Linked DNA regions of Sus scrofa. The protein of the gene in region 7 purifies or fractionates together with the protein of the main gene of each other region. This does not show direct contact. Links are inferred from orthologs where the notes say so. Each region holds a gene or a part of one and is shown on either strand. Other genes may lie near its edges. The genes, in order: HCK, CHEK1, SRC, AKT1, AURKA, serine/threonine-protein phosphatase 5 and CDC37.

Region 1 (4,434 bases), on a different chromosome or scaffold from region 7:
TCTCTTTACTTTTCTGTATTCAACCCCTCCCCATCCTTCCCTAAAAAGGATAGTGAAGGGAAAGCAGTGGAGATAACTGATATCTATTTTTTAATGGAAAATTTTTTTTTTTTGTCTTTTTGCTATTTTCTTGGGCCGCTCTTGCGGCATATGGAATTCCCAGGCTAGGGGTCGAATTGGAGCTGTAGCCACTGGCCTACACCAGAGCCACAGCAACGCGGGATCCGAGCCGCGTCTGCAACCTACACCACAGCTCATGGCAATGCTGGATCGTTAACCCACTGAGCAAGGGCAGGGATGGAACCCGCAACCTCATGGTTCCTAGTCGGATTCGTTAACCACTGCACCACGACGAGAACTCCTAATGGAAAATTTTATTTGAGCCAAATTTGAGGATTTAAACCCAGGAAGAGCATCTCAGAAAACTCTGGGACCCAGTCAGCAGTCAAGGCACAGTTATAGTTTTTTGAGACAGAGGGCTGTATGTTAAATGACTTTTTTTTTTTTTTTTTTTTTTTTTGACCTTGCCCTCAGCATGTGGAAGTTCCCAGGCCAGGGATCAAACCTGAGCCACAGCAGTGACAACACCAGATCCTCAACCCACTGACTCACCAGGGAACTCTTGAGAACTGCTATCTATTGAGGCCCTTGTCTGTGCCGTCCAAAGTGGTTCTCAAAGTGTGGTTCCTGGACCAGCAGCATCAGTATCACCTGGGAATGCAAATTCTTGGGCTCCAGTGCCAGACCTACTCCATCACAAACTCTGGGGTCAAGGCCCAGAAACCTGGGTTGTAAGAAGCCTTCCAGGTGCTACTGATGCACAGATAAAGTTCGAGAACCACTTGGTTAATCCTTAAAAGCTGTGATAGTAGTGAATACCAATTAAGCCGTCGACCTGTCAGGCAGTGCTTTAAGAGCTTTCCTTCAATAACTCAGTCTAACCTTCAAAACAACCCTATGACACAACCATTATTTTAATTATCCCCATCTTACAGTTGTGGAAACGGAGGCACAGAAAGACCAGATCCCCTGCCCAAGGTTCAACAGGCAGATTGCTCCCAGAAACCTCTTCCTTAACTATTACACTAAACTGCCACAATAGTGATCTCTAACACACTCTAGCTTACTGCAGCCTTGGAAGGAAGAATTGATAGTGCTCCTTGACAGATGAGGAAAGGGAATTTAGAAAGGGAGGGTGACTTGTCCAAGGTCTCACAAGGAGGAAAGGGAGGGGCCAGGCATCCTGTGGTCTGTCCAGGGGATTTTGGGGTTTAACCTAGACTGCTGGGGATCAGGGCCCAGCGTGGGAGGAGGAGCAAGCTCAGCGAGCAGACCCAGCTGCAGCCTTGCCTGGGTGTGGCTCACACGTCACGCCTACGGCCAGCTGTCCCCTTCCCCACTATGGCTGCCAACCCGCCGTGACTGTGACCATCATCCACCCCAACCAGGAATCGTAAGGGTCTTCCCCTCCCCGGGCTCTGTGAAGACTTTTTTTTTTTTTTTTTTTTTTTTTTCCTTTTGCAGAAAGGGAAGCTGGACCGCCCAGAGAAGTGGCGGCTCAGGCTTAAAGTCACTCTCGAGCCTTCCCAGGTTCTCAGCCAGGCAGTTCTGCTATTTATCTGGGCATCCTCCCGGAGGGTTCGGTCCCCCCATCCGGCCACCTGTCATCCGCTTCCCCGACGGTCCCTTCCAGCTGCAGCCCAACCTTCCCCGCTCTCCACCCTGGGCTCCCTCCGCAGCCCGAAGACCGTCAGGCCAAGGTGACGAGCTGATGTCGCCCGATCCTGGGTCCGAGAAACTCACCTGGGCGCCCGTTCCTCCTCCGGTGGGCAGCCCGGGTCCTCGCAACTGGAGCGACCCCCCAGCTCGGCAGATCCCGGGGTGCCCGGGCGCCGGTGCCGCAGGGAAGAGAGAGTGACTTTGGAGAAGAGGCTGGGGCTGCGCTCCGAGGTGTTTCGGTGCGTTGTTTTTTGGGGGCCCCTCTTGGCTGAGCTGTCTGCGTCCCTCCCAATCGCCCAGAGTTGCGCCCGGGCTAGGACCTGGGACGCCTTGGCGCCCACAGACCATCTGGGCGCTTTAGCCGCGCCCGGAGTGGTGCTAACCCCGCCCCCGAGTATCCTAAACCCGCCCCCGAAGATTCTAACCCGACCCGGGTTATTCTAATCTCCGTCCCCACCTCCCCAAAATCCTAATCCCACCAAGTAGGAAATTATTTTTAAACCCCGCCCATCCAAAACTTCTAACCCTGTCCCCAAGAATCCTAACCTCCTTCCAGAAGGATAACCCCGCCTCCAAGAATTTTAACCGGTCTCTCAAAGGTCATAACCCCCAGATAACCTAATGCCTTCTCTAATGTATTCGAATTCCATCTCCCAAAGCCCTAACCCCGTCCCAAAGGATTCTAAACCCCGCCCTCCCCAGAACCCCAACACCCCATCTCCTCCCAAGGTCTTAATTCTGCCCTGAAGGATTTTGATTCTCACAGCGGAAGGAATTTTAACCTCGCCTACGGGAGGTTTCTAGTTCTGCCCCCAGGATTTTAATCCCGGCCAACCAAAGGCTTCTAAAAAAGATTCTAACCCAGGCCTCAAGATTTATGACCCTAATCCTAAAGATTCTAATCTCTCTCTTAGGTGATCCTAACCTGTTCCCACAGGATTTTTTTTTTTTTTTTTTCTTTTTAGGGCCGCACCCCGCGGCACATGGAAGTTCCCAGGCTAGGGGTCAAATCGGAGCTACAGCTGTCGACCTACGCCACAGCCAAAGCAACTCGGGATCCGAGCCTCGTCTGCGACCTATACCACAGCTGACCGTAATGCTGGATCCTTAATCCACAGAGCGAGGCCAGAGATCGAACCCCTATCGTCATGATACTAATCGGTTCTTAACCCGCTGGGCTACATCAGGAACTCCCTCACAGGATTTTAATACCCTTTAAACGCCCGACCCCCCCCTTCCAGATTCTCATCGACCCATTCAAAGATTCCATTCCTGACCTCCAGGATTTCTGATCCCACCTATTAAAGGATTCTAAACCGATTCCGGAGGATCTTCACCCCACTGTCGTCATTCGTACAGGATTCTAAATCCACTCCCCCTCCTCCAAGCATTTCGACCTGTTTCCCCACCATTCCAAACCCCTCCTTCTAGCCCAGGCCCCTCCCCCAGGCCGGGTCCTAAGCCTTCCCATCCCTTCTGTGGTCTGCGGTTTCCGCTCTGCAGGCCCCTCGCTATTCAAATCCATGCAAAGTGCCCTGCCCGCAGGAACCAGCCTAGCTCACTCCTTGTCGGTTTCCGGGTAGCTCAGAGGAGTTCCAAAACTGAGTGACGGCAAGTGGAGGCCGCACATGAAAGAGATGTGCCCAGCGCCAGGCAAGGGCACAGCATATCTCCACCTGGAAAGAGAAGGATTCTCACCCAAAATTCTGCTGAACACACCTCCAGAATCCTACTGCGTCTCTGTAGTCCCACTGCTCCTAGCCAGTTCAGGCCACCTTCATCTCTCATTCATTCATTCAGCAATACTGTGCTGGGCTCTGGGCTACACAGGGCTTCTCAACCATGGCACTGGTGACCTTTAGGTCCTGAAATTCTTTGTCTTGGGGGCTGTCCTGTGCATAGTAGGATATTGAAAAGAATTCCTGAATTTCATCCACTAGATGTTAGTAGCAAACCCTCTTCCCCATTCGTGACAGCTAAAAATGTATCCAGACATAACCAAATATCTGAGGAGGGGTGGGAAGGGAGAACAGAAACTTGAATGAGAAAGATAATAACCCTGTTCTTATGTGTTTGGTGTGTGTACCTAAATACATGCCTGCACTTTTAAAAAGCAGATAATGTTTTGATTGTGTGCTTGATTTACTTGGGTGGTAGGTATTCAGTTTTGCCTTTTTTCCCCACTCTATCACTCGATACTGTTACTATCTAGCTATGCTGCCAAAGGTAGTTGTCTACATCCTCCATAGTCTATGTATCCATTCCCCTAGTCATGGATGCCCAGACGGCACACTACTTCACAGTACCATAAACACAGCTGCAATGGACCGCCTCATACGTGTCTCCTTATGAACCCATGTGAGAATTTCATAAAGAATTGCTTGACCAAGAATGCTTACGTAATGGCTGCTGCCTGGATTCCTCTCCCACCACTTCCCCATATCTTTTTTTTTTTTTCCCCTGCTTTTTAGGGCTGCACCCACCACATATGGTGGTTCCCAGGCTAGGTGTCCAATCAGAGCTGCAGCTGCCAGCCTACGCCACAGCCACAGCAACTCAGAATCTGAGTCGCTGTCTGGGATCTACACCACAGTTTATGGCAACGCCGGATCTTTATCCCACTGAGCAAGGCCAGGGATGGAACCTGCGTCCTCATGGATACTAGTCAGATTGTTTCCACTGAGCCACAGTGGTCACTTCCCCATATCTTGATTG
Region 2 (3,950 bases), on a different chromosome or scaffold from region 7:
AAAAAAAAAAATTCCTCCTATTCCAATTTCCTCAACTGTTGCAATAACATCCTTTGTAGCTTTTTGCCTTTAAACCCATGATCTAGTGAAAGATGATGTATTGAATTATTAATCAGGTCTCTTGAGTCTCCTTTAATACAAGATACTCCTCTCTGTTTTTCATGATACTAAGATTTTTGAAGTTTAGAGACAGATTAGAATGACAATGTTATAAATATACTATAGTATTTAAACAAGAAAAATTGGGAGGAAGGACAGGGAGTCCATTGTTAACTGTTACAATTTAAGCACATTACATAGTTTTTAAGAAAATAACAACAAGCATCATAATATTTTTAATAACCTTACAGAAATCTTTTAAGAAACACTTTTTCTTAAGGTAAAGATCTTAAATTCCTTCCATTTCAATTGTTTCTTTTACAGATTAAACCAATTATTTTATATTTTTATTTATTTATTTGGCCTTTCAGGGCCGCACTTGCAACATATGGAGGTTCCCAGCCTGGGGTTGAATCGGAGCTGTGGCTGCCAGCCTATACCACAGCCGCAGCAATGCCAGATCCGAACCTCATCTTCGACCTATACCACAGCTCACGGCAACGCCAGATCCTTAACCCACTGAGTGAGGCCAGGGATCGAACCCAAAACCTCATGGTTCCTAGTCAGATTTGTTAACCACTGAGCCACAACGGGAACTCCTACTTTATATTTTTAAAATACACTGATAATGATAGCCTTTTACACAAATATATAAATTTTTCTTCAGGAAAAATTATAATGAAAACCAATGAAACATACCTGATTCATACAACTTTTCTTCCATTGATAGCCCAATTTCTCACAGGTCTCTTTTAGGCACTGATAAGATTTGTCTGCATCCAGTTTGGTAAAAAATCGTGTCATTCTTTTGACCAGGCGCTGCCAGGGGTTCTACATGTCAATAAAGGAAAGCTGAATAAATCAGATTTATCACCAAAAGCAGTCATATTATAGCTACTTGGTCTGAAAATTCTTTTCTCCAATGTAAGATTCTTATATATATGTCTCCCCTAATTCTCTTCCACTTGTCAAAAATAAATAAATAAACTTTATCATGTTAATACTATATTTCTTAGATTTATACATTACAAAAAAAAAAAAAAAAGAGAGAGTGACTTTAAGACAAAAAAAAAAAAAAAAAATCAAAGGGCTGCCGTTACTTATTTGAAAAACTAAATTCCCTTACCTGTGAGGATCCTGGGGTGCCGAGTAACTGACTATTCAGGAGCATATGATCAGGGCATGTGGGCTGGGAAAAACTGATCCCTTGTACCAGTTTATCAATGTATGAAGGGCTAGTGTCCCATAACGAAAGACCTGTCCGTGGTTCTGGCTGAGAACTGGAGTACTTCACATTTTCTTCACTGGCATTAAGATATGGAGAAAAATATATTTAAATAAAATTCATCAGGCCTTTCATATATCACTTTACCATTCCACTCTCACAGATAAAAATTATATTCATCTTTTTTTTTTTATTTTATTTTACGGCCACACCAGTGGCTTATGGAAGTTCCTGGGCCAGGGAATGAATCTGAATTATAGCTGCAACCTACACCACAGCTGTGGCAACAACACATTCTTTTTTTGTATGTGTGTTTTTGCCATTTCCTGGGCTGCTCCCGAGGCACATGGAGGTTCCCAGGCTAGGGGTCAAATCGGAGCTGTAGCCGCCGGCCTACGCCAGAGCCACAGCAACGCAGGATCTGAGCTGCGTCTGCAACCTACACCACAGCTCACGGCAATGCCGGATTCTTAACCCACTGAGCAAGGCCAGGGATCAAACCCGCAACCTCATGGTTCCTAGTCGGATTTGTTAACCACTGAGCCACGAGGGGAACTCCGCAACAACACATTCTATTTTTTTTTTTTGTCTTTTTAGCTATTTCTTGGGCCGCTCCTGGGGCATATGGAGGTTCCCAGGCTAGGGGTTGAATCGGAGCTGTAGCCACCGGCCTACGCCAGAGCCACAGCAACGCAGGATCCGAGCCGTGTCTGCAACCTACACCACAGCTCACGGCAACGCCAGGTCCTTAACCCACTGAGCAAGGGCAGGGACTGAACCCGCAACCTCATGGTTCCTAGTCGGATTCGTTAACCACTGCGCCACGACAAGAACTCCCGCAACAACACATTCTTAACCCACTGTGCAACAGTGGGAACTTCTCATCTTAATAACATATTCATGTATTATGTTTCATGTGAACTATTACATGGAACTACTCTTGATCTTTTATAATCAGTCTTACCTAGAAGCACTATTGACTGGAGAGAAGTCCAAATTGGATTGAATATGCTTAGAGAATCCACTAGGAGACTCTGATACACCACCTGAAGTGACTCGGGGCCTCTTTGCCCCTAAAAGAGAAAATATATATACAAATGCTTTCAAGTTTTCTAGGCAGTTTTTGTTGTTTTTTTGTTTTTTTTTTTTTTGTCTTTTTAGGGCCGCACCCATGGCATGTGAAGGTTCCCAGGCTAGGGGTCGAATTAGAGCTGTAGCTGCCAGCCTATACCACAGCCACAGCAATGCCAGATCCAAGCCGCGTCTGTGACCTACACCACAGCTCATGACAACGCCAGATCCTTAACCCACTGAATGAGGCCAGGGATTGAACCTGCAACCTCATGGTTCCTAATCTGATTTGTTTCCGCTGCGCCACGGTGGGAACTCTGGCAGACTTTTTTTTTTTTTTGTCTTTTTGCCATTTCTTGGGCCGCTCCCACAGCATATGGAGGTTCCCAGGCTAGGTGTCGAATTGGAGCTGTAGCCACCAGCCTATGCCAGAGCTACAGCAACTCAGGATCCAAGCTATATCTGCAACCTACACCACAGCTCACAGCAATGCTGAATCCTTAACCCACTGAGCAAGGCCAGGATCAAACCTGCAGCCTCATGGTTTCTAACCAACAACTGAGCCATGAAGGGAACTCCCCGGGAGATATTTTTTAAACCCAGCTGGCAACTTGAAGAAGTGAAACCACATCTAAATTCATTTATTTAACACAAAATACTTATGCAACAAATAGTGGCTCTTCCTACATGATTTTAGGAGAAATGTGGTCATAATGAATTTACTGGGACTCACCTGCCAAATTGTACAAACTACACATTTAATAAATCCTGACCTGTAAGTATGTTCCAAGTGTAGGGTATCGTATTAAGGCCATAATTTTAATGGTACCATTTATGGTAACAGAACAATGTTCTATTAAGACCAAGAGACCCAGCTAAGGGATCGAAACTTTTTAAAATATAAAAAATAATTTGTGGTAGTGACAATGAACATTATAAATCTGCTCTAACATTCTTTGATCCTCTGGAAAAGCTTTACCAAGAATAGCCACTGTACAGACTATATCACCACTATAAATTCATGGCTGCAACCCTCAGCTGGATCCTCACTCTGACAGTCAGTCCTGTTTCTGTAATCAGTTTCCTCTCCCTTTACCCACAATGATATTTTCAAAACTTCTACACTCCTATCAAATTACCAAGACCACCCTCCAGTATCTCACTACTTAGCATATGATACCACCTTTCATTTCACAAGGAAACTAAAGCCAGTGGAAGCTCCCTCAACTTGCCACTACCAAACCTGCTAACTTACTTGCATTCCAACCCATCCTCTTCTCCCTTCCATTCTCCCATCAACTGTTCATTCCTCCACTTGTATTTGAGCCCATACCCTCCTGCCTCTCAGGGATTTTGACACTCTTTTATTCCTTCTCAGACTTTTTTAGCTTCTTCCTCTTAAACATGATTAGGTTTAGCCAAACTTTTTATTTATTAATCCATTAATTCAATTCAAATTTTTTTTTTTTTTTTAGGGCCGCACCCTCGGCATATGGAGGTTCCCAGGCAAGGGGTTGAATCGGAGCTACAGCTGCTGGCCTACACCACATTCTCA
Region 3 (3,950 bases), on a different chromosome or scaffold from region 7:
GAAACAAATCTGTGAAGCAGAAAGCCCATCAGTGGCTTGTCTGGGTTTGAGGCCAGATGGTGCTGTCTCTGGAGGGTACAAGGGTGCTTTCTGGGGGTGATGGAGCTCTAGATCTTGATTGTTCTAAGAGAGGCACGGTGTATCCAATTGTTAAAATGCACTGAACTGGATGCCTAAAACGGGTGTACTTCATCATATGTAAATCATACCTCCAAAAAGTGGAATTTTGAAAAAAAAAAAGTTAAATTTAAAACTAAGTAAAGGTCAAGCCAGGAACTTGACCCAAATGTAGCTCAGCTTGGAGGATCGGGGGAGTTCTCCTCCCAAGCCTGGAATAGCCCACAGCTTTAGAAAACCAGCAAAAGCGGGGATACCAGGTGCATTGTGGGAGATCACTTAAAAACAAAACGAAACAAGAAAGGCACTCTTTGGTTTAACCTTCCACTGACATGGGAAGTTGATTCTTTCCCTTCCACATTTAAAGACAGACACGCTACACCTGCCCGAAGCGCGTCCCACCTGCCCTTTGGTGAGGACCCCAGCGAGGGGCTGCCCGCGTCTCCGCGCCGCCACGAGGGCCTCACCCTTGCTCATGTATTCCGTGACGATGTAGATGGGCTCCTCCGACACCACCGCGTACAGCTGCACCAGCTTCTCATGCCTCAGTTTCTTCATGACCTGGGCCTCCTGCAGGAAGGCCTCCGGAGACATCGTGCCAGGCTTCAGGGTTTTGATGGCTACCCTAGTGGTGCCATTCCAGGTCCCTGTATGGAAAGGGGGGAGCTGTCTCAGTGGAAGACCCCCATGCCCGTCTCATAGGGGACCAGGATCTGCCTTCCTGGATGCCAAGTTTAGCTCTGGCCTCCCTAGCCATGTGCCAAGTCCAGCCAAGGCCCAGCATCCACCCCCCCGCCTCTTTTTTTAAGGCCACACTCACGGCATATGGAAGATCCCGGGGTAGGGATGGAATTGGAGAAGCAGCTGCCAGCCTATGCCACAGCCACAGCAATGCAGGATCCAAGCCATGTCTGTGACCTACATCACAGCTCACGGCAATGCCGGATCCTTAACCCACTGAGCAAGGCCAGGGATCGAACCTGCATCCTCATGGATCCTAGTCAGGGTGGTTTCCACTGAGCTACAGTGGGAACTCCAGCCCAGCCCTTTTCTGAGCCTCAGTTTCCCCATCTGCAAAATGGGCATAATGGCAGGACGCTTTTCACAGGTCTGCCCAAAGATTAAATGAGTTTCTGGTACATGTTCAAGAAATAGTAGCTGTGGTTAGGACTCTGATTATGAGAAACGTCCCCAAGGCAGCACGTTCTTCTGAGAGTTGGGAGACATGGTTCCAACTCAATTGCTCTCTCCTGGGTGGTCACGTTCCCTCTGGGTCACACATCAAAGGTGCCTCAAGCTTTAGCAAATTTGGAATGTGTAATGGTGGGGCTGAGGTGGGGGCTGAGCTGGTCTCAAGGCAAGGCCAGGAGAGCAAGAGCTGGTATCAAGACACACTCCCCCCAAAAGGAAGACTTTGCACCAAGTTTGGCTCCCACCTCTGCCTCCTGCCCAGCAGTGGGACTATAGGCAAGTCAGTTCCCTTCTCTGAGCCTCAATTTTCTCCTCTGGAACATGGGGACGCTATAGTATCCACCTGCAGGGCTGTGTGAGGATTAAACGATATTTTAACCACTAGACCAAGTTCATTGTGAGGACACAGTTATAACAGCAGCGACTGCCATTTTATTATTATCATTTGGTGTGTTTTTTTTAGGGGGGAGTGTTTTTTTCTTTTTTGGCCACCCCACAGCATATGGAGTTCCCGGGCCAGCGATCATAACCAAGCCGAGGAGTGCCCACTGTGGCTCAGTGAAAACAAACCCAAGTAGTGCCCATGAGAATGCAGGTTTAATCCCTGGCCCTGGCATTGCCATTAAGGATCCAGCATTGTCATGAGCTGTGGTGTAGGTCACAGATGCAGCTCAGATCCCGCATTGCTCCAGCTGTGATGTAGGCAGGAGGCTGCAGATCCGATTCGACCCCTAGCTCAGGACCTTCTATATGCCGCAGGTGCTGGCCTAAAAAGCTTTAAAAAAAGGAACCAAGCTGCAGCCTCAGCAACACCGGCTCCTTAACCCAATGCCAGGGATCGAATCTGCATTCTGGCCGCTGTAGAGACGCTGCCAATCCCATTGCACCATAGCAGGAACTCCGGGCTTTTAAATTGTGAGGCCTCAGGGGAAGCTGTTCTAAACCAGTGCATTTAATCTGAGTTTTTCTCCGAGGCAGGCCTGAGGCTCCTTGAGCGGCCTTGAGCCTACCTACCCCTTCCTGTCCTGGCCTCCATCTGTGGATTGGGGCCCAGCCCATGTCTGTGGCCCTCCAGACACAGGCCATCTGGGGATTCACTAGTGAACCTGGATCATCCAGGGAGGAACGAGAGCCTCCTCCTCTGGCCTCACTCATGCCCAAGCCAGGAAGCAGGTCTGCAGCCACCAGAACAGCTGATGCTGTGGATGTCTCAGGGTTTGCTCACATGTCTGTGCCTAGAAGCTGGCTTCTTCACCCCGGCCCCTCTCCCGCCAACACCTCCCGTTTCCTGACTCTGCTGGACCTCCAGCCGGCAGGCCTTTGCCCCTGCGGTGCCTGCCACCCAGGAACCCCCTGCTCTCCTCCACCACCTCTTCCTCTGAAGGGAGGAAAGTGGAGGCAGTGATGTCAAGCGAATACTGCGGCTCAGGTGGAGCGACCTTGGGACCTGCACAGGCGATCCCTCCGCTGGACGCAGGCTCACTACCCTGCCTCCCTCACCCTGAACCGTGTCAAAAGAAACCAGTCAGCAGAAGAGAGTCTGGGTTTTGTCGGGGCTGCGAGATGTGTGTTTGCAGGGACGGGTTTGCCATTTGTCCAGAGTTAGACAGGAGATTGTTCCCAGGCCTGGAATACTCCAAACCCGGCACTTCCCAGCGCTCCTCACGTGAACTGAGGCTTCTTGTCCCACAGCGGAGAGCGAACATACAGACGCACGCGGGGCCAGCATTCTCTCAGCCCCACTGGTGGGTCCTGCTATCACCAGCCCCATTTTACAGCTGGGAAGATCGAGGTTCAGAGTGAAGCCACCCACCTGGCCCAGACTACACGGCGAGTCACTGAGGAGTCACGATGCCCCGCCCCAAGCAGGTGCCACGGTCTGTGGAGGGGGGCAGTTTACACCCCAGCTTGCTGCCAGTCACCCATATTGAAAACGGGGCCCACTGTTCAGCAGAGGTGCTGAGACTCATGAAGGTGAAGGCTGGGAGAACTAATGAGGTCTTGAGCTGCTGCAGAGACTACACTGGTTCTCAAAGCCCCCCCTGCGGGGACAGGGGCAAGGACTTACCCATCCACACCTCTCCAAAGCAGCCCTGGCCCAGCTTGACCTCCAGCCGCAGCGACTCCCGGGGGATCTCCCAGGCATCCTTGGCCAGGCCCTGAGTCTGCGGCTTGGACGTGGGGCACACAGTGGTGAGGCGGTGGCACAGGCCATCTGCGTGTTCTGAAGACAGAGGCAGGAGGTGAAGTTCAGGCCAGGCAAGCGCCCCGGGGCCTTTGGGTTCCACAGTGCATACAGGCTTTGGGGACATCCATGATGCCCTCCAGACCAGGTGGACACACCTGTGTGTACACACCCTCCCCGACACAGGCCCATGCTGCCTCATACGCCTGCTCCCTGAGGCATTCATTCATTCATCAGACTTTAAGGGGTGGCTACCTGGGCAGGTGCCAGGGAGCCAGTGGGGGACAAGTCCAGTGGAACCCTGTCCTCAGGGAGCTCACAGTCCAGGGTGGCACCCAACTTCCCTTAATCCCCTCCCAGGATCATGAGAGTGACAGAAGGGAGCTGTGCATGCAATAGCAGGAGGGCTGGGTGGAATCCTGGAAGGCTTCCTAGAGGAAGAGGTGTCTCGGCTTAG
Region 4 (3,950 bases), on a different chromosome or scaffold from region 7:
CTCTTTTTAAATTTTACTGGCCTCACCCGTGGCACGTGGCCGTTCCTGACCCGAGCCACTGCGGTGACAACGCCTGATCCTTAACCCCCTGTGCCGCCAGGAAACCCCTCTCCCTCGCTTCTGACCCGGCGCTCTGGGCGGTCGGAACCCGAGGGCCAAGGTTCTCCTGGGCCATCTGTGGGGACCTGTGACCACGGAGCCCTGGGAGCAGGGGCGGGGCCTCACCACGCGGTGTTTGGGCTTAGCCAGGGACACCTCCATCTCCTCGGCCCCGGAGTTCTCGCTGGGCGAGCCCGACCGGAAGTCCATCATCTCTTCCTCCTGCCGCTTGAGCCCGTCGGCCACCGTCTGGATGGCGGTCGTCCACTCCTCCCTGCAGGGCGGTCGGTGAGGCCCCAGCCCCACCCGGCCCGGGCCTCCCCGCCTCGGGAGCCCCAGCCCAGAGCCCCCACGGAGACCCAGGGACACGGCCCGCTGACCCCGCTGACGACGGGGGCCGGCCGGCCCGCGGGGGCTGCGAGGGGCCAGGAGCGGTGGGGAGGGCGCGCCTACCGCTCCTCCGGCGTCTCCACGTGGAACGTTCGCTCGATGACGGTCGTCCACTGCAGGCAGCGGATGATGAAGGTGTTGGGCCGCGGCCGCTCCGTCTTCATCAGCTGGCATTCTGGTGGAGGCAGCGGCCATGTCCATCCGCACCCCCCCTCCCGCCCCCCGCAGCTGGGACCCTGCTCGGAGCTCAGAGGCGCCCGGTGGCGGCGGGGGGGGGCTCTGGGGCGCCTTCCTTCAGTCTCCCAACAACTCCCCGCCCCCTCCGCCGGCCAGGCCACCGCCCTCAGCCCCCCGGAAGGCGAGGCGTTTGGGGCCCTGGGGAGGGGCCCGCAGGGCGGAGGCACCCGCGTGGACAGGAGCTGGCCCCCGTTCTCCCCGGCACACGAGGACAGCGGCCCGGCCGCCCCCCTTCAGGCGCGAGGCCAGTCCCACGCGGAGGCTGGAGGCGACTCACCCTCGAAGAGGCCGCCTGTCCTCCCTGGAGGCCGCCGGGGCTGTCTCCCCCCACCCCTCTGAGGCCCACACCCCGGAGGCACACGCGGCTTAACAGGAGCCGTACTAACAGGAGCGCGGGCACACCTGCAGCCCGGGACCTGGGGGCGCCCCAGGCCTGGAGAGGGGCCGATGCTGGCCCAGCCCGCGCGAGGCGGAGGGGGCCGTGGGGCCCGCGCAGGGGCCTGACATTCCAGCGTCCAGGCCCTGGCAACCGTGAGGGGCCCCAGGCAGGCTCCGCCGAGAGCTCAAGGGAGCGAGGAATGGTCTGCCAGGCCTGGGGGCCGGGAGGGGGGCTGGCGCCCAGCCTTGTGGGCAGGGGACGGAGGAAGCTTTGTGGCCAGCTTTCTGGGTTCCCCTCCCCAACGTGCTCAGCCCACTGGAGCCCACCAGCCGCTCCCAGGACAAGGTGCCTGACACCCACCCCACCCCAGCCCAGGGCCGACTACTCCTCCCCACCAGGAAGAGCCCCTGGTGTAGAGGCCCCACACAGACGCCTCCCCCTCCCGCCAGCTCTGCTCCTGGTTCAAGGCCCCAGCCCCGCCCAGCGCCGAGGAAGCCCCTCTGGCTGGTGCCCCCACCCATGACCCCTGAGAGTCCCCACTCCCCGGCATTTCAGCCTGGGAATCGCTCCCAAGGGGCCTCGTTTGCCCAGTAAGGCAGCACCCCACATAGCCAAACTTCCTTCCTGGGGGGCTCCCATGGGCCCTGAGGCGGCTGGGGCAGGTGTCTGCCTCCGTGACCTCCCCTCACCCAGTCCCTACTCTACCCGCCGCTTTGCTGAGACTTAAGGAGCCGGGTGGGGGCGGGGGAGGGAGCGCTCAGGGCCCAGAGGAATGGGGCCTTAGTAAAGCACCCCCAAAAGGAGCCCCCCAGGCTGGGGCCTCGGAGGGCAGGGCCTCTGCTCCTCCCATTAGGCGCCCTGGAGTGGGGTATGCTGGCTGTGCCCCTGCGCCAGGACGGGCTCCCGTACCAGGACGGCCCCACCTCTGGGGGCCCGGAGGCTGGGAGTCCGTCGGCTTGGGGACAGGCCCCTCTGAAACCCTGGACCAGAACATAGTGGGATGGGGGAGCTGGAGGACCCCGGGCTCCCAGGGCACGTGGCCCAGAGGGCAGAGCCAGCCGCCGGATGGGGACACCTGAGGAGGCGCCTGGGGCAGAGCCAAGGCAGTGCTCTGCCCTTCCGACCACACCCAGAGGCACCCTCTCTGGGCTCACAGCCTGGGCCAGCCCCGGGCAGCGCCCCCCTGTGGGGCTCCAGGCCTGGGTCCCCCCTGCGGGCACAGGACAAGGCCGCAGCAGCCCTGGGTCAGCTCGGCAGGTCTGAGACGCCCGGCCCCGGCTGTGCACGGAGCCCACGCGCCACCACGGGGGTGGGGGGCCGGGGCGTCTGAGACCCTGCGCTGGGGAGTGGGAAGCCGGCCGCCCCCGCCCCCTCCCCCCCCCGCCCCCCGTCCTGCAGCCCCAGGGCCCCAGGGCCGTCGCGGGCAGAGCCCCGCCAGCTCTGCCGCGGCCGGGGGCCGCGGGCCCCGGCCCCGGGCGGCTCGGGGCCCCCACTCACGCGCCACGGAGAAGTTGTTGAGGGGCGACTCGCGCTGCTCCAGGTCCTGCGGCCGCTCCTTGTAGCCGATGAAGGTGCCGTCGTTCTTGAGGAGGAAGTACCGCGGCCGCCACGTCTTGATGTACTCGCCTGCGACACGCGCGCGCCGTGAGGGCCTGTGCCGCCCGCCGCGCCCCGCGCCCCGCCCAGCGCGCCCCAACTCGACGCCCAGACCCTGACGCCTACCAGGGCGAGCAGAGGGGAGGCAGGAGGCAGGGCTCGGCGTGGCAGAGCGCCCACCTCGGATGGGAAGCCCGCCCCCACCTGTGCTGGAAAGGGGGCCTGGGGTCACCTAGACATGGAGGCCAGCCCAGTCCAGAGGGCCTTCCTGGAGGAGGCGGCACCAAGCCAGCAGGTCTCCAGCAACAGGGAAGGCACCAGCGACAGCCACTCCCAGGGGGTTCAGAGCCGAGAGCTCCCCCCACCACCCTGGCTCCCGCAAGGTGGCGGCTGCAACAGTTATGCCCACCAGAATTGCCCCCCCGCTCAAGCCCGGGCGAGAGGACGGAGCCTGGCATCCAGTGGGAGGGGGCGGGCCGCACACTCAGAGTGGGACTCATGGGCTTGCCCGGCAGACACAAGCCACCTGCAGCCCGTCCCCAGGGTGGGCGCCCGGGAACAACGCCACGCACTGTCCAGGGGTCAGAGCAGTCGTGGGCATCCCGCGGAAGCCAGAGCCAGGCTGGGACCTGCCGTCCTGGACCCTGCATCCCGCCCGTGGGTCACCCAGGTCCTCAGCAAAGTTCCCCCCAGTTCTGCAGCATCAGCGGTGAACAGGCGCTCGCGCTTCAGAACCAAGCAGATGTCCTGTGATGTTCCAGCGACTGCCATTTTTCATACTGACACCCAGGAAAAATGTTTCATTTACATTTTGCCAAGCAAGGAGTTTGAACAACAACACTGAACTTCCCAAGTAGGCAGCCGCCTCCGCAGAGGGTCACCGGGCAGCAGCCGGGAAAGCGGACGGGGTCCCTGAGCCCTGGATGCAGGCACCCGGAGGCCCGTCCCAGACCCCTGGCTGCCCCCGGCCCCGCCTGCTCCTGCTCCCACCCGCTGCCCAGCCCCTGCTCTGCATGGGTGCCCCAGAGACAGACAGAGGCTCCAGCCACTGCAGCTGTCCCTGCCCAGGGGGCCCAGGCAGGGGTCACCACCAGGCCTGGACACCACCTACACAGAGGACCCAGGGCCAGCCAGTGACCCGCCCCTACCTCCAGCACATAGAGCGCTGCCTCCACCCAGCTCTGCTGAGCCTCCAAGCCTGTGGGGACACGGGCTGGAAAGGCGGTGGTACAGCCACCTTCAGCTCCTG
Region 5 (3,950 bases), on a different chromosome or scaffold from region 7:
CTTAACCCATTGAGCCACAACGGGAACTCCTGGAATTGGGATTTTTGGTATAAAATTTCTGAATTGCAGCTTCTTGCTAAATGATAATTCCCAAGTCATTGAGAATTCCCAGGAAGTGTTTAATATGCCTCCCTTTTTATTTTTACTTATTTATTTGTGTTTGTCTTTTTAGGGCCACAGCTGTGGCATATGGAGATTCCCAGGCTAGGGGTCAAATCAGAGCTGTAGCTGCTGGCCTACGCCACAGCCACACCAGATCCGAGCTGCGTCTGTGACCTACACCACAGCTCATGGCAATGCCGGATCCTTAACCCACGGAGTGTGGCCAGACAGGGATCGAACCTGCATCCTCATAGGTACTAGTCAGGTTCATTACCCTTGAGCCACGACGGGAACTCCCCTCCTCCCTTTTTAGATGAAAGCTTAGTGAGCATTCCCGTGGTTTTAGTGGGAGTTGGGCGGGTAGGAGGTGGAGGTGCACTTGGGTGTCTGCAGCAGACTCTCAGTGTCACCTGGGAGTGGTGATTAAAACCGCTGTCCCTTTCTGTCCCTCATCAGTGAGTGACATTGGTTATTACTAGGAGCAGACTTTGGGTTGTTGTCAAAATAGCTTTTGTTGGTGAAGGCCCTGAAGTTCATTTCCCCCCCATCCTAGACCACAGTTCCACCTGGCGATGGTCCAAAACGGGTTCCAGTGACCCAGCACTTTCCAGCTCAGCATCTGCCGTCTGCAAACAGCGGCCAGGCCCAGCGGGTCTTATGTCCTTCGAATTCCTCACAGCGCCTGCCTTCGCACACGCAGAAGCTCGTCTCCAGCCATAAACCAGTTCAGAATCTGAAGCAGAAGCAGTCGCAGGCAACCAGTGGCCCTCGTCCTGTCTCCAGGCCTCTGAGTAACACCCAGCAGAGTGAGCAGCCCCAGCCGGCAGCGCCTGGTGAGCAGCGTCTGAGCCTCCCTGGATAGCCCTTCTTCTGAGTTTCTGAAGAAGCACGTGTACAGGCGTGTGTTGATGGTGTAACCGTAGCGTTTCCATCCTTTCTGTTTGGATGGGGAGAAGATCTGATGTCCGGGGGGAGGTAGCAAGGTCTTCTGGGGGCCAGCCTGAGTCCCACCCTCGAGGGAGAGTTGGACAGCCAGGGAGGGCATGGTGCCAATCCGCTGATGGTATGGGGCGGGGGGTCGGGGCGCAGGTGCACTTGGAACTGAAATTCAAAGGTTTGCAGTGTGGGGGAAGTGGCGGGGGATGGGGTTTAGTGGATGGACTGACGCAGGCCAGGCAAAGTCGTGGTGAGCACTGCTGGCCGTGGAGTGGGGCTTCCTGCCTATGCATTGGGAAGCCGCTGAAAGGGTTTTGAGCGGAGGAGGGGCTGACTTGCCTTTCGTAGAAAGCTTATCAGGATGTGTGGAATGATTTGGAAAGTAGCGATGCTGGACTCGGGGGTCCGAGGAGGGAAGGAGGCCATTGTGGTTTGGGTCAGACATGACTGTGGCCTGAACCAGGTGCAAGAGGGTGGGTGTCAGCAGCAACTGTTCCCAGCTCACACACAGCAGGCTTCCTTCATCCATGCTGTGTCAGTCTGTCCTTGGAACCACTCTGTGGAGGCAGCCATAGGTGTGTGTGTGTCGTTTGTTTTAGGGCCACTCCTGCGGCATATGGAAGTTCCTGGGCTCCGGGTTGAATTGGAGCCGCAGCTGCTGGCCTACACCACAGCCACAGCAACACTAGATCCAAGTCACATCTCTGGGCTACGCTACAGCTTGGGGCAATGCCAGATCCCTAACCCACTGAGTGAGGCTAGCGATGGAACCTGCATCCTCACAGACACTGTGTTGGGTTCTTAACACGCTGCAAGGGAGAACGACAACATTGAGCTACAAGAGGAACTCTGAGGTAGCCATAGTTTTTAACTCAGTTTCGCAGGGGAGGAAGCTAAGACTTGGGAGCATCAACTTATTCAAAGACGTAGCCGGGCCGGAGAGGTGCAGGTGAATTTGAGAGCTCACTTAGGATGCAGTCTTGACAGAACTGGGCAATAAACCGGACACGAGGTGGTGGTTACACCGATGGCCTTAACTGAGATCATGAACCAAGGAGGGGAAGGTCCGGCGTAGGCCTGAATTCAGATATCTGAGCAGCGCAAACTGCTGCTGTTTGAGTTTGAAGTGCTGGAGATAGATGAGTAGAAAGGGCCCATGTAATTTCCCCTTGGCAGCTGGTACAGTGGAGGGAGGCTGGTGGTTGGCTTATGTTTTGTTGCACATTGAAGGTAGCAGATGGACAGTGGGCTGGCCAACCTGCTGGGGAAAAGTTGGGAGCCTGTTATGGATATGCAGATGGGTAATTCTGCTTTAGAAGCTCTTCATTTAGAAACTAAGGCTTCAGGGAGAAGCTATGTTGTCTGGAGTCTGAGTGATCTGAGGGCCTAACTGTATGTATTTGCTCATCTTTACTCGCAAGAGTTCTGTAAAGACTTTGGCAGAAGTCAGGTTAGGGTGTGGTAGTCTTTTTTTGTTTTGTTTTAAGAAAACTGAAAATGATCTGGATCTATCATTCTGGGAACACCACCAATATTTTTTGGTGACTTTTTTTCTTTTCGGCTATGCCTACAGCATGCGGAAGTTCCAGGGCCAGGGAGAGTTCCTGTCGTGGCTCAGTGGTGTACGAACCCGACTAGTATCCATGAGGATTAGGGTTTGATCCCTCACTCAGTGGGTTAAGGATCCATCGTTGCCGTGGGCTATAGTGTAGGCCGGTAGTTACAGCTCCAATTTGACCCCAGCCTGGGAACCTCCATATGCCATGGGTGTGGCACCAAAAAGACAAAAGACAAAAAAAAGAAGTTCTGGGCCAGGGATCAAACCTGCACCATGGCAGTGTCAACACTGAGTCCTTAACCACTAGGCCACCAGGGAACTCCCTGGTGACCATTCTTTGATTCATCTCTTTTCAAACATTTTGTTTTGCCTTTTTTTTTTTTTTTTTTCCCCCTTTCTTTCTTGGCTGCACCCACAGCACATGGAAGTTCCCAGGCCAGAGAGTGACTGAGCTGCAGCTGTGACCTATACCGCAGCTGTGGCAATGCCGGATCCTTAACCCACTGCACTGAGCCGAGGATCAAACCAGTAATACCACATAAACAAGCCAGATCACTAACCAAGTGTGCCACAGTGGGAATTCCTCAAAGCTTTTTAATTTATTCTGTATAGTTATTCCAAAAACAGATTTTTTAACTTATTCTATCTAGGAAACAATCCTGAAAAGGAAGCGGCATCAAAACAGAAAAATGAAGAATCAAAAAAGTAAGTTTTATTTTATTTACAAAGTTCTGTACTATCCTTCTGCTAGAAAGTACTATGTAATTGCAAATTTAGTTATGGGATCATTTTTTAAAAGAAATAGTTCCTTTTATTCTCACTTACAAAATATAGATGTTTCAGATTTCTGATCTTTAAAACAGAGAAGGAATTTTAATGACAGATTTCACTAGGGACTTGAGTTTTTCTTATTTTTCAAAATTGGGAAAAGCTTGTATCAATCTGTTACAGAAAGGTAGTAAAAGTTGCTCTCCACTCTTAGAAGTAACTACAGCGTGTGGTTTATGTATGCTTCTATACTTCTTTGCTAGTCAAGAAGTGCAGGTTTGTTTGAAATGGCAATAAAGTGTCCTGTTGCAGAACTGTAGAGACATACATGACTGTGTGAGTATTTTGAAGGTGTTAATAGAATTATTGCACTTGGTCTTCATGATAGAGCTTGGCTGTATTTTCCTCTGCTCTCAATGTCTGAACTGTCTAGACTCTGGAATGTCGTAGGAGCCAGGAATGAACCCACAGCCTTCTTTGCTCTCGATGCCTAATAGACTTCCCAGGAATCTATATCTGGTGGTTCTCGCCCCCCGACCCTGTGGGATCCATCCCGCTGGCTTGACGGGAGTGATGCTCTACCCCA
Region 6 (4,549 bases), on a different chromosome or scaffold from region 7:
GTGCCTACCAAGGAGAGCTCTTTATAGGAGTTTAAAGATTAGTGGGTTTCAGAGCCAGCATTGTTGGTTCAGTCCCTTTCCCTCCCCCAGCCCAGCACAATTCCCTCCATTGAGGGCCCAGGTCACCCCCAGAGGGAGGGAGGGGTCAGGCCCTTCTCTCCCCATAGCACCAATCGGGACAGGCCATCCCTGGACAAAAGAGTGAGAAGTGCCTTCCAAAAAGGGGGTGAATTGGGTTGAGAGAGGGAGGCCTCTTCAAGGGTAAGAGTAGCACCATCGTAGAAAGAAGGGTGGGGCAGGGACACATAAGTGGTGGCGGAGTACTGAGGAGACCTGTCTTCTCACCCACCCCATGATATGCAGAAGGGCTGTGCGTGTGCCTGCGCGGCTGGGGAAGTCTGCGGGTTGTGAGGGAGCCCCAGGTTCCCCGGATAAGTAAAGGTACGTGCACATCTGGCTGGCTGAGAGGTGGGGGATGGAGGGAGTTCTAGGACGGAGAAATTTTAGGGATAGGAGCTTGAGAATGAAGAGGCTTGAGCATGAAGTCCACTAGCACAAGGACCTGGAGGGGGGGATCTGGAATAGGAAGACTTAAGAGTAGGAATTGGAGCAAGTGGAGTCGGGTGGGAAGCCCAGAATCTGAGTCAGAGGTCTTAAGATTCAGAACCAGAGGAGTCTACAGGGAGAGGTCCAGACTCTCAAATCAGAAGCATTTGGAGGCTGATTTCTAGAATCAGAAGAATTTGGATCTGAGATCAGAGGCACTTGGAAGCTGTGAGGCCTAGAACCAGAGGAATTTCTAGAGTAAGAACTGAATTTAAGACCAAGTTCTGGAACCAAAAGGAATTTGGGGTCATAAGCTCTAGAATCAGGAGTTTAGAGCAGTAGGCCTAGAACCAGAAAATTTTATAGGGCAAGGTCTCTAATCTGAAGATGTGTGAAGGCCAAGTTCTAGATGCAGGGTGATTTGGAGCCATAAGATGTGGAATGAGGGGGAATTGGAGATTGTCTAGAATCCAGGCAGGTATAGGATGAGGTGTGGAATCAGAAGACATTCGAAGCCAATTTCTAAAACCAGAGAAAAGAGAGATCATCAGATCCGCAATCAGAGGGCCCTGGAAACTGTAAGGTGTAAAGGTTATATAGTCCAGACCCAGTAGATAGTAGAGATCCTAAAGTCTAGAGCAAAAATGAACTAAAAAGTGTGGTTCTGGAGTTCCCGTTGTGGCGCAGTGGTTAACGAATCCGACTAGGAACCATGAGGTTGCGGGTTCGGCCCCTGCCCTTGCTCAGTGGGTTAACGATCCCGCGTTGCCGTGAGCTGTGGTGTAGGTTGCAGACGCGGCTCGGATCCCGCGTTGCTGTGGCTCTGGCGTAGGCCGGTGGCTACAGCTCCGATTCGACCCCTAGCCTGGGAACCTCCATATGCCACGGGAGCGGCCCAAGAAATAGCAAAAAGACAAAAAAAAAAAAAAAAAAGTGTGGTTCTGAAGGTACTTGGTATAAGATCAAGACGGGAAACCCATTTTGCTTCTTTTTGATGAGAAAAGCAAGTCTTGCATGTAGCATTGAAAAAGAATTGAGCTGGACACAATGGAATACTACTCAGCCATAAAAAAGGATGACATAATGCCATTTGCAGCAACATGGATGGAACTAGAGAATCTCATACTGAGTGAAATGAGCCAGAAAGACAAAGACAAATACCATATGATATCACTTATAACTGGAATCTAATATCCAGCACAAATGAACATCTCCTCAGAAAAGAAAATCATGGACTTGGAGAAGAGACTTGTGGTTGCCTGATGGGAGGGGGAGGGAGTGGGAGGGATCGGGAGCTTGGGCTTATCAGATACAACCTAGAATAGATTTACAAGGAGATCCTGCTGAATAGCATTGAGAACTATGTCTAGATACTCATGTTGCAACAGAAGAAAGGGTGGGGGAAAAAACTGTAATTGCAATGTATACATCTAAGGATAACCTGACCCCTTTGCTGTACAGTGGGAAAATAAATAAAAAATAAAAATTAAAAAAAAAAAAAAAAAGAATTGAGCTGGGCATCTTGAGGTTTAGAATCAAAATGATTTAGACATTCGGAAGCCTGGATTTGGAACCAATCAAATGCATTACAGATCAGGAAGACTAGAAGCAATTCAAAGCTTAGGGTTGCAGGGTCCAGAATCAAAGGAAATCATTGGCCGTAAGAGCCAGAATCAGCAGGAGTTGGGGTATGTACCATCGAGAACAAGCGATCTTTATGGGGAGAGCTCTAGAGCCAGAGGACGCTGATGGTCATGGGCCTGTGGGAGTTGGAGGCTGTGAGGCCTAGAACCAGACAACCTTAGAGACTGTGCAACAGGAAAATCGATTTCGGAGGTTGCGCATTCTAAAACGAGAAAGAAATGAAGACTGTTAGATCTGGAATCAGAGCTTTTGGAGGCTGCAAGGCCTGAAGCAGACCACACTGGGGGTTGTGTGGTCTAGAACCATAGAGTGTTGCTGTTTAAGGTCTGGAAGCAGAGGTTGGGGGCTCCAGCTAAGTGTCCTAGGTGTAGCCAGTGGAGGCCCCCCCCCCAGTGGAAGCCCACCAATGGAGCTGGTGTCTACGCCAGGGAGGGGCCAGCAGAAGTCCAGGGGGGAGGAGTGGGCAGAGCTGAGGGGCCACTTGGGAAGCTAAGGGCTTGATCAGAAATCTATCTTGAGGTGTGAGATCTGACCCAGAGGGCCCCCGCTCCCCATTGACACCTGAGTTGGGGCCGGGGGCGGGGGGGAAGATGAGAGTTCCACATTATTATGAACCGCAGGTAATTTGCAGCGATTAAAAACATAATGAAAACAACAAAAATCAAAATAAGAATGAAAGAAAGATGGAAAGAAACCTGGTGATGGTTATCCACACTCCCCCAAGCCTGCAAATACAGCTCTGAACCCCACCCTCCCCAACCCCTGATTACTGAAAGCAAAGCCGAGAGAGCTGGAGAAAGGGATGAGGTAACCGGTATTGAGAACCCCAAGGGAAGTCCTGAGAGAAGCAGGAGGGGGCCAGGAACCCCCTCCCAGAGGTCACTGAGCTGAGACCACTCCAGAGCGCCCCAGACAGTAGGGGGTACGGAGGGGTGGGGGCTGAGGTAGGCCCAAGGCGGGTGGGGGCCCCTGAGAGGAGAGGGAACCCCTCTCCCGGCACCCCCACCCTGTGCGTTGGCTGCCGGCTTGGAGTATGATTGGCGTCCTCTCTGCGGGGGGCGGGAGGGAGGTGGGAAGAGGGCTGGGCTCAGTGGGCCTGGGCCAAGTCTGCCGCTGGCTGGAAGTGGCTCCTGGACTGGGCGGCGTCCTCATCCCGGGAGAGGGAGAGCAGGGAGGGGCCCAGGCCTGTGGGGGAGACGGAAGATAAGCGATTCACAGGAGTCATGCACCCTAACCCGGCCTCCCTTCCAAACAGTTAAGAGTATGGCTGGCGAGGCTGGCATGCCTGGATTCAACCAGGAGTGAAATCCTGGGCACGGTCTCCCTCAGCCTCAGGTGTCCAGGATGTTTAAGGCAGGAGTCAGGAAGCCCAGAGCCAGTTGCTGCCTGAGTTTGAATCCAGGCTCTACTGTTCACTTGCTGTATGCCCCGGGGGCAGGTGACGTTACCTCTCCGTGCCTCACCTAACCTCGTCCGTCTGCAAAGTGGGCTAAGAGCAGAACCTCCCTCCCAGGGCTGTTAGGAGGGTAATTGAGTGAATCCATGTAAAGCGCTGTGAACAGCGCTCAGTGAGCTCTTGTTATCTGGAAAACAGGGATACTTAGACCCACCTCCTTCATGAGAATCACTCATTCAAAAAATAGTTATTGAGGGGAGGGAGTTCCCTGGTGGCCTAATGGCTTAAGGATCTGGTGTTCTCACCGCTGAGGCTCAGGTTTGATCCCTGGCCTGGGAACTTCCAAATGCTGTGGGCACAGCCCCCCCTACAAAAACTTACTGAATACCTGGTGTGTGCCAAGCACGGGGGACACAGCAGTGAACAGGACAGAGGAAACTTGCTGCCTTCACGGGGCTGGCATTCCAGTGAGGGGAATCGATTGGATCACTTACATAACAGATTTAGCACAAAGCTTGGCACAAAGTGAGCACTAAATAAATGTCGGCTCTCTCTGCCCAGCCACTGCCCAGCCTCGCACACACAGTGGAGGACCCCTGCCCTGCATGACTGACGATAAACGAATAACGACATTGGAGTTCCCATCATGGCTCAATGGTTAACGAATCCGACTAGGAACCATGAGGTTGTGGGTTCGATCCCTGGCCTTGCTCAGTGGGTTAAGTAAGGATCCAGTATTGCTGGGAGCTATGGTGTAGGTTGCAGACATGGCTCCAATCTGGCATTGCTGTGGCTGTGGTGTAGACCAGCAGCTGTAGCTCCCATTGGACCCCTAGCCTGGGAACCTCCATATGCCACAGGTGTGGCCCTAAAAAGACAAAAAAGAAAAAAAGAAAACCTCCTGATGCCTGGAGGTTTTGGGTGGGAGATGGTGGAAGCAACACAAGCAGAAACAGCAGCTTG
Region 7 (3,950 bases):
AAATAAGTACTGGTTTCTTGTGGCCCCTTCCAGTGAGCTTATGTGGCATCAAGGTTCTGGGAGCCTCGGTTCCCTTATGTATAAGGCAAGGTGTCAGTGACACCTGTGGCCCCTTCTCACTGCTGGGGCTTCTGCCCTGCCCAGCTGGGTACAGCCCCTCCTAGAGCTGTAAAGCCCATGCCAGGCAGGCTGCCACCCTCACCGCTCCAGGAGTCCTTTATTTAGCTTGGGCCTCCTGGCAGCTGCTCAGAGGATGCCGAGATTTCGATGGCTACCCAGCAGAAACCAGCAGCGTGGTACGTTCCTGCTGTCACCTGAGGCCAACCATAGAGAGCCCCTCATATTGTAGCGGGAAGGCTCCAGGGCGACGCAGGCCCATCATGGAGCAAGAGAGGTGACAGAAGATGCAAGGCATTCCCTGCAAAGCAAGGGCTTTCTCCCATCTTCATCCACATGGGAAAAGCGAGGCTTGTGATTGGCTGGGTTGTTCCTGTGGAGCAATAGAGAAGGGCTCAGGTCTCCCAACTCTCACCCAGCATGGGCCCGGCCCTGTGCTAGGACCTAGAGATCCAACCTCGAATAAAGTACAGAAGCAAGTTAGCAGACCATCCTTGTGGCCTTGGCCGTGACAATGGTGTTAACAGTGGGACGTGTATACTGAGTGCTGTGTTGCAAGTGGTTTCCTTGAAGTAACTCTTTTAGTCCTCGCAACAACTCTGTGAGGCCCCATTTTTTTGGAGGGGGGACACCAAGGCAGGGAGAGGTGTAAGCAGCTTGGCCAAGGTCACAAGCCAGTAAGTGCCAGTATGATGCAGCAGCAACCACTCCCAGTGACCCGCATTTACTCTGGGCTAAGCACTTTGAAGTACATTTTCTTATTTGAGCCCCTGTGTAGTCCCCAGAAAGAGATTGTCTGCCCGGACAGGCAGTAATGACATTAGTCAGCATGGAAATGCTGCTCACCAAGCACAGCTCTGGACTGTCTTCTTTATAACCCATTTTGTTTCTCCCGGTGCAACCCTGTGAGATTGGCACTGTTGTCTGCCTCTGACAGATGAGGAACTGAGGTTCAAGAATTGGCCCTGGGAACCCTTGGCCATTACATGGTGGCTCTGGGATATGACCCCAGGTCTAGGGCCTGAAGGACATCCACCAGTATCTCCTCACCTCATCTGATGATCACAGAGGGGCCGTTGGGGCTGAGTGGTTGAGTGGTTCTAGCAGGGGTGGGCTCCCTTTTTTTTGGGGGGGGGTCTTTTTAGGACTGCACCCGAGGCATATGGAAGTTTCCAGGCTCAGGGGTGAATTGGAGCTGCAGCCACAACAATGTCAGATCTGAGCCACATTTTTGACCTACACCACAGCTCATGGCAACACCGGATCCATTAACCCACTGAGCGAGGCCAGGGATCAAAACTGTGTCCTCATGGATACCACTAAGCCACAATGGGAACTCCGGGCGGTGGGGGGCTCTTGGGGAAGACTCTGATGAAGCTGAGACTTGGGGACAAGCAGATGGTGTAAGGGGAAGAGGGTTCCAGGTGGGAGGAATAGCATGTGCAGAGGCTAACAGGTATGAGAGGGCAGGTCCATCCAGGGAACCACAAGGGCCAGCCTTAGCCTGGGCCCTAACCTTCCAAGGAGGCTTGGTGCCCTCTGGACAGCTTGGGGGCAGGGGATCTGGGGTCCCATCTGAACCCAGATCCTCCAGATGGAGGTGTCAGGGAGGGCTGTGGGCAGGTGCACATGCGTTTCAAAGGCTTTGGCAGTGTCTCAGCCTGGAAAGCGGGGGGATGGGGGGAGGACGATGATCAAAGATGGTGGTGCCTTTCAGGGCTCAGTAGAGCAGACAGTGCTGGGAGCTGGGGAAGGTGATGGGGTGGGAAATGGGGAGGCCCAGTGATCTGATAGAGTTCTGGATAGGGGACCAAGGAGATGGGATGCTATCATTGAGCTTGGGGTGCAGAGGAGGAGGAGATCTGGGAAGCAGCATCTAGGATGAGGTGGGGACAGGAGGCTGGTGGGCACCATGCTGGGCGTGCTGGCCTGGAGACAGGCGAGTGGGCCTCTGCAGATCCACGTGTAACACCAGATGGAGCAAAGTGGAGAAACACCTGGAAATGAACACTGTCAAGATTTGGAGGCAGTTAGGGAGGGACAGGGCTAATGGCAGGCCTCAGCTGGGTGCAGGAGGTGGTGGCGATCTTCACTGAGGGAAGACACAGCAAAAAAGCAAGTTTGGGGAGCTCAGGTGGGGAATTCAGTTTGGGGCACAGAGTTGGAGGTGACTGTGGGAAGCCCGGCAGGCGGGGGAGGGTGGTGGAGTGTTACCGAGGGCAGCTCCAGGGAGGAGGGGAAGCCCGAGACCCTGAGGGGGTGGCCATGCCTCCAGCCAGCATCTCAATACTTTATTACATCCAGCATGCCTTCCCTGGATCCCTCCTATGCACCAGCCCCAGTTCCTGGCTCCGGAGACAACAGTGAACAGGTCCCCAAGCCAGTATCTTTGGAGGAGGACAGTGCTTAAGACATGATAAATAATTGTCACGGGACATTGTTGGGTCACGAGTGCTGAGGAGGAAGATCAAGCAGAGCAGAATAGGGGAGGTTGTGACCTTCAGTAGGGGGGTCAAGGAAAGCATCATCTGTTGAAGTCCTTTGAAGATGATAAGGATGCAAAGGGGTTGGCGGGGGTGGTCTGGGGAGAGAGCCTTCCAGGCCAAGGGAACAAAGAGCAAGTGCAAAGGCCCTGAGGTTTGAAGTGGGTTCATGAAGGTAACCCTAACCCTAACCCAGTGTAGGGTGAGCAGGAGGAGATGAGGGCATGGAGGTGACAGGACAAATCGTGCACAGCCTTGTGGACTGTGGGAAGAACTTGGGCTTGTGCTCAGCATGAAGTGGGAGCCATAGAGGGTTCTGAGCAGAGAAAGGACCTGCCCTGGCTCAGGTGTACCTCTAGGGGCGAGAGCGGAAGTTGGGAGTCCAGTGTAGGGAGGGTGGTGAGGCCACACTGTGGGGCCATTCCCAGGTGCCACTGCCGGGAGCCTGAGGCTGGGATGGGGCAGGGGTCAAGGGACAAGCCGTTCCCTAGAGCGATGGGCCATCCCCCTCCTGTAGGCCCGGGTGGAGCGCATGGAGCAGTTCCAGAAAGAGAAGGAGGAGCTGGACCGGGGCTGCCGCGAGTGCAAGCGCAAAGTGGCCGAGTGTCAGCGGAAGCTGAAGGAGCTGGAGGTAGCTGAGGGCGAGGGCGGCGAGGCCGAGCTGGAACGGCTCCAGGCCGAGGCACAGCAGCTGCTCAAGGAGGAGAGGAGCTGGGAGCAGAAGCTGGAGGAGATGCGCAAGAAGGAGAAGAGCATGCCCTGGAACGTGGACACACTGAGCAAGGATGGCTTCAGCAAGGTGTGTGTGGGGAGAGAGAGAGGGGTGTGTGGGAAGCTTTGCTTGGGGTGGGGGAGGTCCAGGAACAGAGGCCAGGTGCTGGGGTCAGTGGGGGAGGAGGAGATGGGGGGCTGGGTAGGTGAGGCACCCCACTGGTACCCCTCCCTCTGATCTGCCCCAAGGCCCTAGTCCGAGGCCACACCTGCCACGCCCACGCTCCCACCACATTGAGGTTCACGACGCTGTCACCACCTCCACCCTGGACGGGATGGGCGATGCGGCCGAGGCCCACCCGGCCACGTTCGAGGCGCTCCATGGCCTCGCTCCAGCCCACTCCCCTTCTCGCCCCACCACAGAGCATGGTCAATACCAAGCCTGAGCAGGCGGAGGAGGAGTCGGAGGAGGTGAGGGAGCAGAAACACAAAACCTTCGTGGAAAAGTATGAGAAACAGATCAAGCACTTTGGTGAGTTGGGCGCAAGGCCTCTCAGGGGGTTGGGGGAGGCCAGGTAGGTGGCGCCTGTGACAAGGGCTGGTCCTCTGCCTCCAGGGCCCTTCCAACACCTTGCCCAT

The links.
Region 1: the proteins of CDC37 (region 7) and HCK purify together in Homo sapiens (affinity purification with mass spectrometry; 3 studies listed by BioGRID and IntAct, with this or other methods). This does not show direct contact. The link is inferred for Sus scrofa from reciprocal best matches to the Homo sapiens genes CDC37 and HCK.
Region 2: the proteins of CDC37 (region 7) and CHEK1 purify together in Homo sapiens (affinity purification with mass spectrometry; 3 studies listed by BioGRID and IntAct, with this or other methods). This does not show direct contact. The link is inferred for Sus scrofa from reciprocal best matches to the Homo sapiens genes CDC37 and CHEK1.
Region 3: the proteins of CDC37 (region 7) and SRC purify together in Homo sapiens (affinity purification with mass spectrometry; 3 studies listed by BioGRID and IntAct, with this or other methods). This does not show direct contact. The link is inferred for Sus scrofa from reciprocal best matches to the Homo sapiens genes CDC37 and SRC.
Region 4: the proteins of CDC37 (region 7) and AKT1 purify together in Homo sapiens (affinity purification with western blotting; 5 studies listed by BioGRID and IntAct, with this or other methods). This does not show direct contact. The link is inferred for Sus scrofa from reciprocal best matches to the Homo sapiens genes CDC37 and AKT1.
Region 5: the proteins of CDC37 (region 7) and AURKA purify together in Homo sapiens (affinity purification with mass spectrometry; 3 studies listed by BioGRID and IntAct, with this or other methods). This does not show direct contact. The link is inferred for Sus scrofa from reciprocal best matches to the Homo sapiens genes CDC37 and AURKA.
Region 6: the proteins of CDC37 (region 7) and serine/threonine-protein phosphatase 5 purify together in Homo sapiens (affinity purification with mass spectrometry; 4 studies listed by BioGRID and IntAct, with this or other methods). This does not show direct contact. The link is inferred for Sus scrofa from reciprocal best matches to the Homo sapiens genes CDC37 and PPP5C.

Annotation. Positions count from the first base shown.
Region 1 is NC_010459.5:35,707,228-35,711,661, reverse strand, and holds the start of HCK (tyrosine-protein kinase HCK), read right to left. Parts: upstream 3,090-4,434; 5' UTR 3,018-3,089; intron 2,377-3,017; exon of another isoform or gene 1,804-2,376; intron 1-1,803. UniProt on the Homo sapiens protein: Non-receptor tyrosine-protein kinase found in hematopoietic cells that transmits signals from cell surface receptors and plays an important role in the regulation of innate immune responses, including neutrophil, monocyte, macrophage and mast cell functions, phagocytosis, cell survival and proliferation, cell adhesion and migration.
Region 2 is NC_010451.4:52,775,896-52,779,845, reverse strand, and holds part of CHEK1 (serine/threonine-protein kinase Chk1), read right to left. Parts: intron 2,398-3,950; coding exon 2,289-2,397; intron 1,404-2,288; coding exon 1,226-1,403; intron 931-1,225; coding exon 799-930; intron 1-798. UniProt on the Homo sapiens protein: Serine/threonine-protein kinase which is required for checkpoint-mediated cell cycle arrest and activation of DNA repair in response to the presence of DNA damage or unreplicated DNA.
Region 3 is NC_010459.5:40,515,657-40,519,606, reverse strand, and holds part of SRC (proto-oncogene tyrosine-protein kinase Src), read right to left. Parts: intron 3,533-3,950; coding exon 3,377-3,532; intron 765-3,376; coding exon 585-764; intron 1-584. UniProt on the Homo sapiens protein: Non-receptor protein tyrosine kinase which is activated following engagement of many different classes of cellular receptors including immune response receptors, integrins and other adhesion receptors, receptor protein tyrosine kinases, G protein-coupled receptors as well as cytokine receptors.
Region 4 is NW_018084979.1:3,045,304-3,049,253, forward strand, and holds part of AKT1 (RAC-alpha serine/threonine-protein kinase), read right to left. Parts: intron 2,732-3,950; coding exon 2,603-2,731; intron 665-2,602; coding exon 553-664; intron 374-552; coding exon 226-373; intron 1-225. UniProt on the Homo sapiens protein: AKT1 is one of 3 closely related serine/threonine-protein kinases (AKT1, AKT2 and AKT3) called the AKT kinase, and which regulate many processes including metabolism, proliferation, cell survival, growth and angiogenesis.
Region 5 is NC_010459.5:56,962,217-56,966,166, reverse strand, and holds part of AURKA (aurora kinase A), read left to right. Parts: intron 1-655; coding exon 656-935; intron 936-3,246; coding exon 3,247-3,301; intron 3,302-3,950. UniProt on the Homo sapiens protein: Mitotic serine/threonine kinase that contributes to the regulation of cell cycle progression.
Region 6 is NC_010448.4:52,371,787-52,376,335, reverse strand, and holds the start of serine/threonine-protein phosphatase 5, read right to left. Parts: upstream 3,070-4,549; 5' UTR 1-3,069. Other genes in the region: HIF3A (hypoxia-inducible factor 3-alpha), read right to left, coding at 3,070-3,375. UniProt on the Homo sapiens protein: Serine/threonine-protein phosphatase that dephosphorylates a myriad of proteins involved in different signaling pathways including the kinases CSNK1E, ASK1/MAP3K5, PRKDC and RAF1, the nuclear receptors NR3C1, PPARG, ESR1 and ESR2, SMAD proteins and TAU/MAPT.
Region 7 is NC_010444.4:69,206,285-69,210,234, reverse strand, and holds part of CDC37 (hsp90 co-chaperone Cdc37), read left to right. Parts: intron 1-3,117; coding exon 3,118-3,399; intron 3,400-3,560; coding exon of another isoform or gene 3,561-3,734; coding exon 3,735-3,843; intron 3,844-3,950. UniProt on the Homo sapiens protein: Co-chaperone that binds to numerous kinases and promotes their interaction with the Hsp90 complex, resulting in stabilization and promotion of their activity. Inhibits HSP90AA1 ATPase activity.